Linked DNA regions of Tribolium castaneum. The protein of the gene in region 2 purifies or fractionates together with the protein of the main gene of each other region. This does not show direct contact. Links are inferred from orthologs where the notes say so. Each region holds a gene or a part of one and is shown on either strand. Other genes may lie near its edges.

What was found.
Region 1: the proteins of Rrp6 (region 2) and Dis3 purify together in Drosophila melanogaster (affinity purification with western blotting; 3 studies listed by BioGRID, with this or other methods). This does not show direct contact. The link is inferred for Tribolium castaneum from reciprocal best matches to the Drosophila melanogaster genes Rrp6 and Dis3.

What each region holds. Positions count from the first base shown.
Region 1 is NC_087394.1:36,184,702-36,192,195, forward strand, and holds the start of Dis3 (exosome complex exonuclease RRP44), read right to left. Parts: upstream 4,583-7,494; 5' UTR 4,105-4,582; coding exon 4,051-4,104; intron 4,002-4,050; coding exon 3,837-4,001; intron 3,785-3,836; coding exon 3,627-3,784; intron 3,576-3,626; coding exon 3,176-3,575; intron 3,101-3,175; coding exon 2,687-3,100; intron 1,845-2,686; coding exon 1,698-1,844; intron 1,650-1,697; coding exon 1,153-1,649; intron 1,032-1,152; coding exon 788-1,031; intron 741-787; coding exon 351-740; intron 313-350; coding exon 157-312; intron 105-156; coding exon 1-104. Other genes in the region: mpv17-like protein, read left to right, coding at 6,432-6,560, 6,680-6,768, 6,998-7,110, 7,160-7,368.
Region 2 is NC_087398.1:13,222,178-13,228,789, reverse strand, and holds the end of Rrp6 (exosome complex component 10 homolog), read left to right. Parts: intron 1-3,537; coding exon 3,538-4,245; intron 4,246-4,292; coding exon 4,293-4,376; 3' UTR 4,377-4,432; downstream 4,433-6,612. Other genes in the region: Idgf2 (imaginal disc growth factor 2 precursor), read right to left, coding at 4,433-4,904. UniProt on the Drosophila melanogaster protein: Catalytic component of the RNA exosome complex which has 3'->5' exoribonuclease activity and participates in a multitude of cellular RNA processing and degradation events.

The DNA.
Region 1 (7,494 bases), on a different chromosome or scaffold from region 2:
AAAACAAATTTTTCGTGTTGAATGTTATTAGAATCAAGCGATAGTCGGACTACAACGGGGTCAAAAGCGTGAATAACCACACTTCCGGCTTTTTGTGTCTGGTCCTAAAATCAAGTGGTCATGATTTCGTTTAGTCCGCGGTCCGCTTGACTTTACCTCTTCATTGTATTCAAAAATATTGGACGTTTCGCCTTTTTTGGCCACAAATAGGGTACATTCCAGGCCATATCGTGGTATAAGAACTTGCAGGGCGTTTTTACGGACATACAACACGTAACCTTCCTCATCTTGTAGTTTCCCTTTGAAAAACAACTACCAAGAAATTATTAAATCAAGTGAAAAATCCTCACATGTGTGTTGAACGCAATTGAGGCTCTTCCAGCATATTGAGCCATTCGGTTCCTGTAGTTCAAATTTTGGCACAACTCGGTCGTTTTATTCTTATCCAAAAGGTCCGGATAAGTGGAGTCGGCACCACAGATAACTGCAAGTAGCCTGTGGACTATGATATCGGCGTATCTACGAATTGGTGACGTGAAATGTGTGTACAAAGGCACAGCTAGACCATAATGGAAGTACTCCTCCTTTTGGTACGTCCCACTGACAAAGTAAACAGCTTGTAGCATACAACGTGTGGCTAAAATTCGGAACATTGTGTTCAAATAGGGATTTTTTGTGTTTACTGCTTCATCGAGTGATTTTGCCAAGTTTTTGCCTGAATCCACTCTAATTTCAAAGCCCTTGAAAAGCGAAATTAAATTTTGGGGTGACGTTAAGTAGTACGTACAAGGTGACGGCCTGCTTTAACCAGGGGATCGAAATTAGTAGCTGGAGGGACGGGATGACGACGTAACATCGCACAATCGGGAAACTCCTCAAGGATTTTTTCAGCGACACTTATATTTGCTTGCAGCATAAATTCCTCAATCATGGAATTTGTTTCAAACAGTTTTTTCACTTCCACGTCCAAGGGTTCCATCGTCTCGGAGTCCATCTGGATTTTTACCTCAGGCGATGCAAGAACTAAAGCTCTAATAAAGAAACAAAGTAACGTTAAAAAAATTGATTTTTGTTTGTTTGTTTGATTTTGACAAATTTTGTTGTATTGTGTATTTTATTGTAAAAAATATATTTGTAAATAAAAGTGCCTACCCATTAACCAGTCTGCGCTGCTTCATAATTTTGGCCAACTTGTTCAAGCTCCTCAAGGCCTCGGCCAGAGCGTCCTGCTTGGTCTTGTCGTCAATAATCAGTTGCGCCTCTTCATAAGTCATTGCTTTCCTCGACTTAATTATACTTTTATGAAATCGCGTACTTAAAATATTGGCATTTTGGTCCATTTCCCAAATGCAAGAAAACGCGAATCTTTCCTCTCCTCCTCGTAACGAACAAAGATTTGAACTGAGCAATGCTGGCACCATATCTATTCGATTATTAACCAAATACACTGTGGTGGCTCTAGAAGCAGCTTCGCGATCTAGAGGCGTTCCAGGTCTTATAAAATGCGAAACATCGGCAATATGAACACCAACTTCAAGTTTGCCGTCAGCTAGTGGACGACAATGAAGGGCGTCGTCAATGTCGGTACAACCTGGGGGATCCACTGAGCAAATGTCAAGGTGTCTGAGATCGACTCGTTTTTTGACGTCCTATTAAAAGCGCAATGAATAACAATCAGGGAGGAAAATAAACATTACATCATCGGTTATGATCCAAGGCATTTTGGGCAAACAATTGAGAACTTCCTCAGAGAATTGGCTGTGAGGGACGTCATGTTCCAGCAAAATGACCTCGTTTTCGGTGGTTTGGTCCCCAATGTTGCCCAAAGCTCGCACAAAATGACCCTATTTAAAAAATTACAAAAAATTAATGCAAAAAGAAATTTTTTCCTGAGTAATTTTTTTTTATGCAACTTCCTTATTTTAAATGGATTAGTGGAATTATTTTAAGGCTATTTTTATCAACTTTCCCTATACCTAAGTTGAACCATTTTCAGGATATTTAAGATTTTTTGAAAATTTTTGGATTTGCATCTGTCACTTAAAAAATCGGTAACTCTCTTAGCTTTGGAGATTTCAAAATCATATTTGGAGGATTAAAAGAGAAAGCCTCTATCTGTTCTGCAGTGTATTCAAAATTGGAAAAGACGTTATTAAACCCAAAAATTTTAAAGTTTGAACAACTTCAAGTGCCCATAACTTAATTTTTTCAAATGGGATGTCCCAATTTTTATTTTATTAAATGGAAGAGAATTTTTTTCTACATCGATTTGTATTAGCATTTCCTATAGCTATCTGTGATAATTTTCAAGTTATGTTACTTTTTTTGACATTGTAGAAAATTTCTTACTAATCACAGCTGTTTTTGCATAGTTTGCCATAAAAACATTTCTGAATCAGTCAGTTTTTAATGTCTTTTAATATTAGTGTTCTAAATGTTGACTCTTATTATAGTAGAATGGAAATTACCTCTAAAATAAATAAATTTTATTACGACATTATTATTGACGCTTTCTTAACATGCTTCCAATTTTTTCTTAGACTAAGTTGTAAACTGTTGTTTTTTTATTTTATTTGTTAGTGTTTCTTTATAATCATTGTTTGTCTTTGATTTATTGTATTTTCAGCTTACCTTTAGTGGTAATTTTTTTTGAGTAAATAATTATTTATTTACTTATAACACTTACATGAGGATAGCGTGAATGTTTGGGCCAGGAATCAATCGTAACGATCAATTTCTGAGTCCTTAGAAACTCCGCTTGTCTCGTTTCTATTTTAATTTTGGGTATACTTTTATCAGCTGGAACAAACATCTGATAAACACCATCAATGCCCCCTTGTAAAATGCCACAATATTGTCTCCACTTTCTACGAATAATTCCAACAACACGTCCTGTAGGTTTAGCTCCACTTTTCTTCTTTGTCGCTTTTTGTAACTCGTTTTCTTTTGTCACAACATCGTCAACACTCTCATCACCAACCCCTTCATCCTCTAGGATTATTTCACTCGGACACACCCATTCCTCCTCTTTCAAAAGCTCAACAGCTACAGTGTCACCATCCACTGAGCGGTTAAGGCCAGCCCGACCCTGAACTATCACCTACAGAAAATAAAAACAAATAGCTTCGCTTCGAGTTTCAATATTAAAAATAATGTATTTATAAAATTGCCTTACCGGCTCTTCGTACGAATCCACATTGACAAAACCTTCCAAGAAATTATCTCGAGAGGCTCGGAAAGTCCCCTGGAGCAGCTTTCCCTCTCTTATGCCAGTCAAAAGCTCAACATTACTCAAATGGTTGGGAAAAACGTCTTTCGTAAAATCATTTCCGTGAAAATCTTTCCTCGATAATTTATCGGTAAGACCCGAAGTGTTGAGATTTTGCACATATTCCGAGACGGTGTAAGAAGGTATATCCTCTTTTTGGGCTTTAATCCGATTAGCTGAGTCGTCAGTGAGGAAAACGAATTTTTGTTTAGGGGCATGGTTTATGTACCAGGAACACGCAGCTCTAATACACCTGTCATTGTAATCATTAATTAATTCACCTTCGTTTTGTTGCAAATAAGTGCCTCTGGAAGCAATGTTTTAGGTTTGTATCAATATAATGAAAAAATGTTTTTACTGATGGTGGTCGTTTATAAAAACGTAAAAATGACGACTCGGATTTTCAATTACAGCACACAAGCGTTTGTAAATTGGTAGACTTCGGTGCTTCACCTCGTTTAAAACTGTGTGGAGGATTATCACATTACCAATGACGGACTCTTCCAAAATATCCATCTAAATTTGTAATTTAAATGCTAGTTTTATAAAAAATAAACTCGGAAAATACCTGATCAAGAACAACATTTGTGTCTAGTATTAGATAATGATTAGAAGTAAATAAAGAACATTTGTTTTCGTGGTCTGGGGACAGGAATGACTCCACTGGCAAACAAGTTTCACACTCTTGAAGACCACAAGAAATGTCATCACGAATATAATGTTCTCGAACGTGCTACAATATTAGAAAAGATGGACCCCCATGTTTATTGTCACATACTAACCTTCAGATAATTCCCAACTTTGTTCTTTTTAATAAAAGCTTTAGTCGTAAACATTGTTTAATTATTTCAAATGTTTTTTTACAAAAACATGCCGCAACAAGTTATTTGGAGGTTATATTACAATATTTTTTGTGGTTATGTTTTTGTTGACAGCTGAGGCGGGAAATATAAAAAACTGTTTTTTTATTATAAAAAATACAAAACAAAAATTCTTACATTGTTCCAGCAATTATGAATACAAAAGACCATTACCATATTACCTAGTCATGCACAACGTTTTATTAAGAAATCTAACTCCCACTGCTATATAAACATGCTAATTTATTAAAAATATGCAATAAACGTGTTCCCCATGCGACTTAATTAGTTGCAGAAGCAAAATGAAAAATTATACATCCTGTACGAGTTGCTATTGATAAGTACAGTCACCCAAAATGAAAATGACGTGTCTATAACGCCCAAGTTTTAAGAAATTCGACATTTCGTTTATCATCATTTGAAATAATTGAGGGTTTCATTTTTTGGAAAATTTAATTAATTAATAAATAAATAATAAATTATTAATAAATAATAATAATAATAATAATAATAATAATAATAATAATTATAGTAATAAAAGCTTTTATTAGAGACAAAATGTGAGGGAGCAATCTATAGTTTACACGGTTGATGCAAAATATAAATTTCAATGTGAAATTAAATTTGCTGTATAATGAACAAATTTGAACATTAATTAAAGTATTTTATGATATTTATCTTATTCTTGATAATTTTTACGAAATAATCAGAAAAATAAAAAAAAAATTTTGTTTCATTTTCAGCTCGGTTTATTTAGGTAATACATTCCAAAAAGCTTGGAAAATTTTGTAATTTTGTAATTTTGAGACGTTGTTTTGTCAAAAGATTTATGGATTTAGACGTTTTTTTTTATCAAATATTGTAAAATAAATGAGTATCTTATTCAAAAATGCACGGTAGGTGGTTGTTTATAGACGCATCATTTTCATTTTGGGTGACTGTACTTAGCTTCCCATATAAGTAAAACCACGATATTTAAAAACACAGTTTATAAAATATTTGTTTCGTTCCGGAAACAAGTCTTCCGAGGCGTTTTTCCACATTTTTATCATGTAATTTAGTTAACAAAAAATTATTCTTTTTTTTTATAAAAAAAAAATCATAAAGTAAATTCTTAGGTCGTGGAGAAACTTCTTTGCTTTGCTGTCCTAACAACAGAAAATTATTTTTTTTTTGAACTCAAGTCACTCGAACGAGCGTCTGATCAGCATTCAAAGTTTTTCTGACAAACTGATTTAAAAAATTAGTTTAATAACTTGCGGATTTTACAAAAAAAGTAAAAACCTCTCAGACTAACTTTTGTCTCAAATTTTTTGAAATTCGTTTTAATTTTTGAGTAAATGAGTTCGGAGAATCTTTGAGATGAGCTCGGAACGCAACTGTAACAATTTATCTATCACGAATCGTCTTGATATTTGGCAAAACTTAAAAATTAAAAAACAATCACATTTTTAACAGCCTTGATAACGTACTAATTACTTTGTTCGTAAAACAAACAGATTAGGTATTTGCCGAACTTTACTATTCATTTATTTTCAAAACTATTATTAACGTATAACTCATAGAAAACAATAAAACACATAGATCAAGTTTATGTAACCATATGTTGCATACATGATACTTAAGCGTACCTGTGCATTGTTTAATGTCTACAAAAGTGAATTGAAAGGTATCACGTGTCGTCCTAAGAAAGTAGCTCAAAAATTGCCTAAGATAAGCTAGTTAATACTCATAATACACTCGTAGAAGGTTACATATTTTATTTACAGTAATTTATTTAACTAGCGCCAATTGAATTCATTAAACAAAACCTATCTGCTGTGGTGTGTAGTAGCTGTGAAGAATTACAAGCGTTGTTATTAAGTTACTGTGTTGTTCCAGGTAAATAAAAGCCCTTTATTGTCATACACAAGACCTTAAAAGTGTGACATAAATTATATTAAACAAATAAAAACGTCGGAAAATTCCTGTTTGTAATAAATAACTTGTAATTATTGTTTCCAACTGAATTATGAATTTTTCCACAACATTCGAACAATTTCTAATTAGAATCCGCGTCCTGTGATATTTGAAACAGAGCGACTTACAATCAATAAGAGCGTTCTTGCGCAAGAACGCATCTGTTGCGAAATTTTTGCCCAAATGCCACCCAATCATTTTATCAAATCAGTTAGCTAGTAGTTTGGCACTAAAAAAATGAAACGCTTCAAAAAAGACCATTGTGTTGGTGAACTCTAATTAATTGAATTCTAGTATGCGATTTTTTCTACTAAAATATGGCTCTAACAGTAAATTGTTTCAGCATGTCAAGTATTTTAAAATTCATTAAATATGCATTTACCAAATACCCGATCGCTTCCAATTCTCTGGTTTATGGAACACTTTACGTGGGAGCCGAATTTTCCCAACAAACCATCTCGAGAAAAGTTCTGGTGAGTTGTGAATTATTAAAGCGACACTGATCGCCCATTTAAAAGACGTTCGTTTATTATTTATGTTTGGAGTAAGTTTTCTCATACTCTTTAATTTTTTAATTTGAGTTAATTGTTAGACTAAAACGCCCACGTCTTACGACACGCCTGCAATTGCTCGATATGCAGTTTACGGAACCGGAATACAGGGACCATTTTTGACCATTTGGTATTTATTTTTTTGGGTTTTGGTTTCCTTATATTAATTTTGGTTTCTGATTTTGCTCAAATTTCAGAATAAAGAACCGATCATCTATGACCGCCAAATGCTCACATGTTTTGGAATTCTCGGTGTGACTGTTATTGCTCCAGTATACCAGTACTGGTAGGTCACAAACCAAAATTAATATACTTTTCCGAGACTCAATTTCTACATTGTTAAAGTAACACGTTTGTAGGTACAGATGGTTAGACAAGAAATTTATCGGAACCTCGTACAAAATTGTAGCACAAAAACTGCTACTGGACCAATTCTTAATGACCCCGCAGATTTTGGTAATTTTTTATGTTGGTGAGTGCTCACATTTTGCTGTAACGTAAAATAATCCCAAGTTTCACAGCCATGAGCATTATGGAGAAGAAGAAGGATATTTTTGAAGAATGTAAACAGAAAATAATCCCCACATTCAAGTCTAGTTGTATGTTTTGGCTTCCAGCCCAAACTGTAAATTTCTTGTTAATCCCCCCTTCGTTTAGGGTCGTTTATGTTGGGACTTGCTCATTTGCATGGGTCAACATTTTGTGCTGGATTAAGCGACAAGAATACTAGATTTTGTAAATTATAATAAAGTCAAGTCTTACATTTTGACGAAGCTTACGAACTTGTTAAAATTTGAGCTTTGGCTGTTCTTAAATCAGTGACAGAAGAGGACAATAATTCCTATTTATTGTAGCT
Region 2 (6,612 bases):
CTCAAAGTCGATTCAAATTTACAAAGAAGATTTTGATCATAACTTGTAATGCAATTTACTTAAAATTAATAGGTCTTTCATCTAAGGGACAATTAGATTTATCAAAAAATATTAATGCAGACAAACATATTTTCAAATCTTGTAATTTTATTGGAAATCATGGCTTGTAAAGCGGTGACTAATTGTATGTACAGGTGAATGATCGTTTTTAGCATTGAAAAAAGTAAAAGACATCTTCACTATCTATCTAATCTTAAATTAAAAGCGCTATAGCAATAATGTATTAATGTCCCCAGTTTTGACAAAATTATCAAAAACACTTCATTTTTGATAAATATAATAAAAAATAATCATTTTATTAACAAGAAAGTCAGAGAAAAACCTTAAATTATTAATCATTTCTTATTTTTTTTATTGTATTATTTAACTATGTACTAGTATTATTAGCATTTTGTATAAATAAACAATCGAAATTTATTATAGGGGACAATTTTACAATAATTGTGATACTCACCATTACTTATCATTATCAAAATTATTAAAAAACGGAGCGAATAATGAATCAAACACTAAAATTTAAAAAAGTTTTGATGAGATAAAGAGGGTGAATCTACCAAATGTATGTCTAAAATAATAATCGCTCAATAAGAATCAGCATTTTTAATTATTATTAATTAAATTAATATTATTATTTATTATTTTATTTAATAAAATACAGGTGTTTTCATTTTTATATTTAAAATTAATTAATTAATATTAACTAATTAATTAAGCCGCAAAAAATTGTTAAACCTTGTGTCATCTGAGAAGAAGCAGTGTTGTTCTGCCATCAAAATCCATACAAAAGTGTTGCTGGTCCCAAAAATTTATTAATAAAGTAAAAATTCAAATAAACGTAGCACCCTCTGCGAGAAAAAAAAAAGACAGACGAAATTTTCTTGCGCTTTGAGCGCCAAAATACAGGGTTTTGTGAATTGCACCCACAAATTTTAACCACTTAAAGAATGCGTTATGAAAAATTAATTTGAAAACAAAACAAATTCCGTATCCAAAAAATTTTTTGATTTTTCTCCCCACGATTTTCACGAGCCGTTCAGTGGGTCTCTCCTTGTTAGGTGCAAGTAAAATTTAAATGAAAATAAATTGCACTGAACGTTGACCGTGAACGTTTTTATGCACAAAAAAGGGATAACTTTGTGCACCAAAAAAATTAGCAGGTGTTTGTTTAGACGTTCGGTTAGTTAGTCGTAATCCTACTTTCGAGTGAATTCACGTGTCAGTTTGAAATTAAATCATTATGGCCAATTATTCAAACGCCGAAATGAGTGATCTGGTTTTAGTGTACGAGGTAGTGGAAATAATCCCGTTACACTCTTACCATCTCCAGCGGGTGCAGGCTCTCAGATTTAAATCCGTGTGATTTTTTTTGGATTCACGTGAAACAACTAGTGTTCAAATTGTGTTCCAAGTAATACCGCCAAGGAGCTAACCGTTTGTGTTACGCAAGCATCAACCGTATCATTTAGAAATCACGAGGGGATGTGTGCAAGACCGCAAGCTTTCCTACCCTGAAGAGTTCATTGCGACCGAAGGGCAACATTTTGAGCAATTTTTATTATGGTACTGACCCACTAACATTGACACTGATAAGTTTTTTTGTCTTTACGCTCTTTAGGTTCAATAGTTTCTTTTTATTAGAATGAATGAAAATATCGTATCTAGACATAGGCGAAGACGGATTTTCAGCCTCAACTTATTTTTAATTTTAACTCAGAAATGATATGTTTTTGGCAAAAATTGGAGAGAGAAAAGTTGTTTCTTTTGACGAGGTCTATTAGTGGTTAAATTTTGTGAGCGCTATCCACAAACAGCCTGTATGTAGGTTGATACGCTACTGCTGAAGATACAACAAAGTGTATGGAATAAAGTTGTAGAGAATTGTTTCCTGTAAAAAAGCCCGCGACACCATATTTTTTTCTACAGTTCAGGGATAAATTAACTTTCTATTACTTGACCACCGGTAAAACGAAACGAATCTGTCGCTCCAGCGTCTTTTGAACGTTTTTTGGGTCTAAACCGTTGATGATAGTGATATGGTTTTGCAGACTTTTTTAGAGGAAATTTAATTCTCTACAAATTTATTCTTAACACTTTTCTTGTACGAGGTTAGATCAATATTTACGGTTCCTGATATACAAAGAAAAAGAATTTTTTAAACATTTTTTGTTTGTTTCTCAACATGATCTTCATGGACTTCAATGTACTTGGTCCATCGATGTTCCAATACTTCAGTGCTTTTCAAGAAAAGTTTTCCGATTGCTCCTCAACCCGGCCATTTCCTGCGGTCATAACTTCATTATCGTCCTCATATTTTTTCCCACGGAGGTTTTCTTTAAATTTTGGAAATAGATAGTAATCACTGGGTGCCAGGTCTGTTAAATATGGAGGGTATTCTAGGATTTCAAAGCCAGGGTTCTGTATGGCAGCCACGACAATGTAGATTTTATGACCGGATTTTGTCCCGATGGAGCAAAATTTTGAGTGACAACTTTTCTGGTCTTTTTGGCTCGATGCATTCGGACAATTGTAGAATTAACCCTGCATAATAAAAACCCATTATCATTATTATTATCATTAGAATTCCTTCTGTAACCTAGAACACTGTGACCAAAATCTTTCCCCCGTTGAATTCGAAATTTGCATAGAGGTGAAAAACCTCTGTGATGCCACTCCATACTTTGCTTTTTGCCACTTGGAAAGGAGGAGAGTCCACTAAAAGATCTGTCATAAGCTTGTGAATTTCAGTTGGTGTTAATCCCTTTTTCTGCAAATATGTTATCACCGCTCTGACATAACATTTTTTCTACTATGATTAAAATTTATCTGTCATCGACCGTTCCACCAACATTTTTTGCAACTTTGCCCTTTGCGCTTTGCAAAAATAGTAAACTCTAAAGTTAATGTGTTCCACCAATTTTTTCACTGGTTGTAAATTTTTGTAAAGCAAAGTATTTTTGCAAGGTATATTTTACAAAGTGTGTAAAATATACTGTTGTTGATGGAACGCAAAGTCGGTGGTGGAGTAGGGCCCAGCTGTTAAAGAACAACATACACATAAACAAAACTTGGCACAATTAATTAATAATGAAAGTTCTCATAGAAAAATAAGAGCCGATATCATGCAAAGCCTACTATGTCAGGGACCGTAAATACCCTCGTATCTTTAACCGTATTCACAGCTTCTTGAAAATTACGGAACGAAGGCGAAATTTTAAATAATTTTTTCTTATGTCTCTTATGAAAATTGTAGTCGTCATTTTTTTTTTAGTTTGTTAGGAGTGCAAAGCTCAAAATTTCTGCACTTTTCTTCTAATAATTAGTGAATTGGTTGGACTTAAATTAATGTAAAACGATTTGACGCCGACACGTACTATTTTTTTGGGTTCAGAAAATTCTGCAATTTTTGTATTTCCTTTCATCTCCTACTTATAGTCCTTCTTAGTCGTTAGTTAATATGAAGTTTAATTTTGTGTTCAGATTAGGGATCATTTCGTGCAATTATCCAAGAAGTTTAGTGAGGAGTTGCAAGCGCAAAAAGAGGAAGAAGAACGGAAGGAGAGAGAATTGTCATTGATAGAAATGGGTGCTTCAAGGAAAAGAAAACGAGATGAAATTGATTCAGAATCGCCTGATGTGGTGATAGTTGAGGACAGTTTTTATACTCCGGTTCCAGTAATAAGCGATGTTATTGATGAAAATAATTTCTATCGCAGAAAAAAGCCACGCAAGCGGAAATTTGATGAAATTAATGATGGAGGTAATGAAGGTGGTAAAAAGAAGAAAAATAAGAAAAAGGGAAAGAAAGGGAATGTACAAGCTCCTGGACAGTTTAAAAATGAAGGAAACAAACTAAATCTAACTCAAGTTCGTTCATTTAAAACTGAAGGAAAACAACAAAATCAAATTCCAATCCATCAGAATAAAGGCAACGGAAATAAACAAAATCAGGCTCAAAATGTACCGAAGAGTAAAAGGAAAAGGAATAATGCCGGACAGGGGCCCCAAAATGTTCAAAAAGGCGGGAATCAACCCAAGAAGAAGTTTAAGTGCAAGAATGCAGAACAGAACAATAAGAGTTCGAATTTCATGCCGTATGATTATTCCTCTGTTGATTTTAGGCAGTTTCAAGGTGGGGCCGGCAGTGCCAGTGGGGGTGTGCAGATGAAAAGGACTTTCCAACCCAAGGTGAGTCAAATTTCCAATTGATATTTCTGGCGCTACTCGTATTTTAGAATCGCGGAAAACACAACAAAAAGGGGGCTAAATCATCGACGTTTGCTAACTTGGGTAGACACAACAGAGGGCAACACAACTGAGTTGTTTATTTAATGTTGTATATTTTTTCAAAAATAATTACAATCGGTTATAACATTTACAAATGCGTTTTAGCGGTTCTTAAAATATCGTATTTATCCCGCCCGCAAGTTCCCTTAAAGTCGTCCAACGACAAGTCAACAATTGCAATCCCTCCCAGTCCTTTGGCTTTCACATAACTGGCTTTATATCCGGCTGTGTCGGTGTCTTCATAACCGACCCAAAAACCGCCGTTGTTATTTTCATCAGGGAGTCTAAAAATGTAGGATCCTTTGCGTTTTGAGGGATCTGGGACTCTTTTCACTTGGAAAGCTTTCTGGGTTTTGGCGTTTTGTGGGTCGTTGAGTAAAGTGCAAATTTCGGGGTAGCTTAAAAGACCGGCGTCTTTTGTGAGGGGGCCTGCTTCAGCAGGGCCCGAGATGTGCAGAGGCGGAGTGCCGTTGATGTCGGATTCGTCGTCCATTGCCCAAGCGCGACCAAAGGTTGGGAGACCCAACACGATTTTGGCGCTGGGGGCCCCGTTACTCATCCTAATTTACACAAGAATAAAAGTCGAAAAATTAAAACGATTTGCTGTTCTAACTAAACTCCACATAGAAGTATTGGGAGTTTTAATAATGATAGTCTCCTGAAAATTTGTATACAACCCTTTCCGTTAGCTTTTTAATGAAAATTAAACCAAATGGCGGCATTTTGAATGGAAAGTTGTGTTTTTACTGCATTTTTGCTTTACCCGAGCGATTTTAAGTGAGTGTTTTCAGCTTTCCCTATCCCTAAATTCAGTCTTTTTTGAAATGATAATGTATTTTTTTGAAAATTTTTGGATTTTTACTTTTGGATCAGGACATTTGGCGTCTTAAAAAACAGGTTAAAATCCTACAAATTGAAAAGCAAGCAATGGAGAAAGACCTAAAACCCTTCAAAAGGCAATAATCTTCATTCACTCCAAAAGTACCTAAATTGGGCACATGAAAAAACAGGGCAGAGTCTTAAAAATTTTCCAAAAAATAAACATCCGTAAAAGATCTAAAAAACTTACAAAATGCTTGTTTTTAAGTACCTAAAATGGCTTTTTATTTTTGGACTGGGACATTTGGCGTTTTCAAAAAACAAGGCAGAACCCTAAAAATTTAACTGCTCTTCCAAAACAAAACAATCGAAAACGATCTAAAAACCCTTCAGAAAGCATTATTTTGTATGAACCCCAAAATTACTCAAATATCCGTAGGCCACTAAAAATTGGGCATATGAAAAAACCGTTAAAATTTCCCAAAATAATGCAAAATTACTTTAAGAACGCCCTAAAAAATTAACAAATTACCTTGTTTTTAATCACTCCAAAATGGCTTTCTGGACCAGAGCAATTGGCGCATGCGAAAAAAAGAGAAAAACAACATCAAATCAAAAAGGTATATTTGGCGCCTTACAAAACAAGACAGAATCCAAAAAAGGTATGTTTTTCCTAAAGTAAACAACCGAAGAAAACATGAATCTTTCAAAAAACAAAAATCAAATTTTTTATGCGCCCAAAAAATACACGAAAATCAATAGACCACCAAAAAAGGGGCACATGGGAAAACTGTTGAAAATCATCCAAAATCAAACATAATTACATTAATAGCAACCAAAAAAACCTTACAGCATTCCTTGTTTTTAGACATAACAAAATGGATTTTTCTTTTTAGATAATTTTATTGGTACACGCAAAAATCATTGAAAAAGAGCCAAAAATCTTATTCAGGTTATTTGTCAGGTTTTCGAACCCTCCAAATGGATTTTTATTTCTGGATAGGACGTTAGAGCACAGCTTTTCATTGGATAGTAACTGGTAAATTAAAAAAAAAACAAAAGACTTGTCTGAATAGGTTTAAAATTAGAATATAAAAATATTATTAAACAAAAAATTAAAACTATATCTGACTATATTACCAAGTTTGACATCTAATAAAATTTGGTAAAATCTCTTAACATCTTTAACATATTCTGGCAACCCCAAATTTTATCTCTGACCAAAATTTACTCCAAAAAAATATACTTTAAATCCAGATTCTTTGATGAATATTGCTTATTTTTCATTACCATTCAGCCAAAAGTTTAAATTTTTCCATACTTTGTCTTCTTCGTCTACATGGATTCTGATAGCTTTATCTGTTTTTTTCGTAACATCTTAGTTTAGACCAATTAGACACTTTAAAAAGCTAGAAAATTCTCTATGCCTCAGTTTAGCATATCCATCTT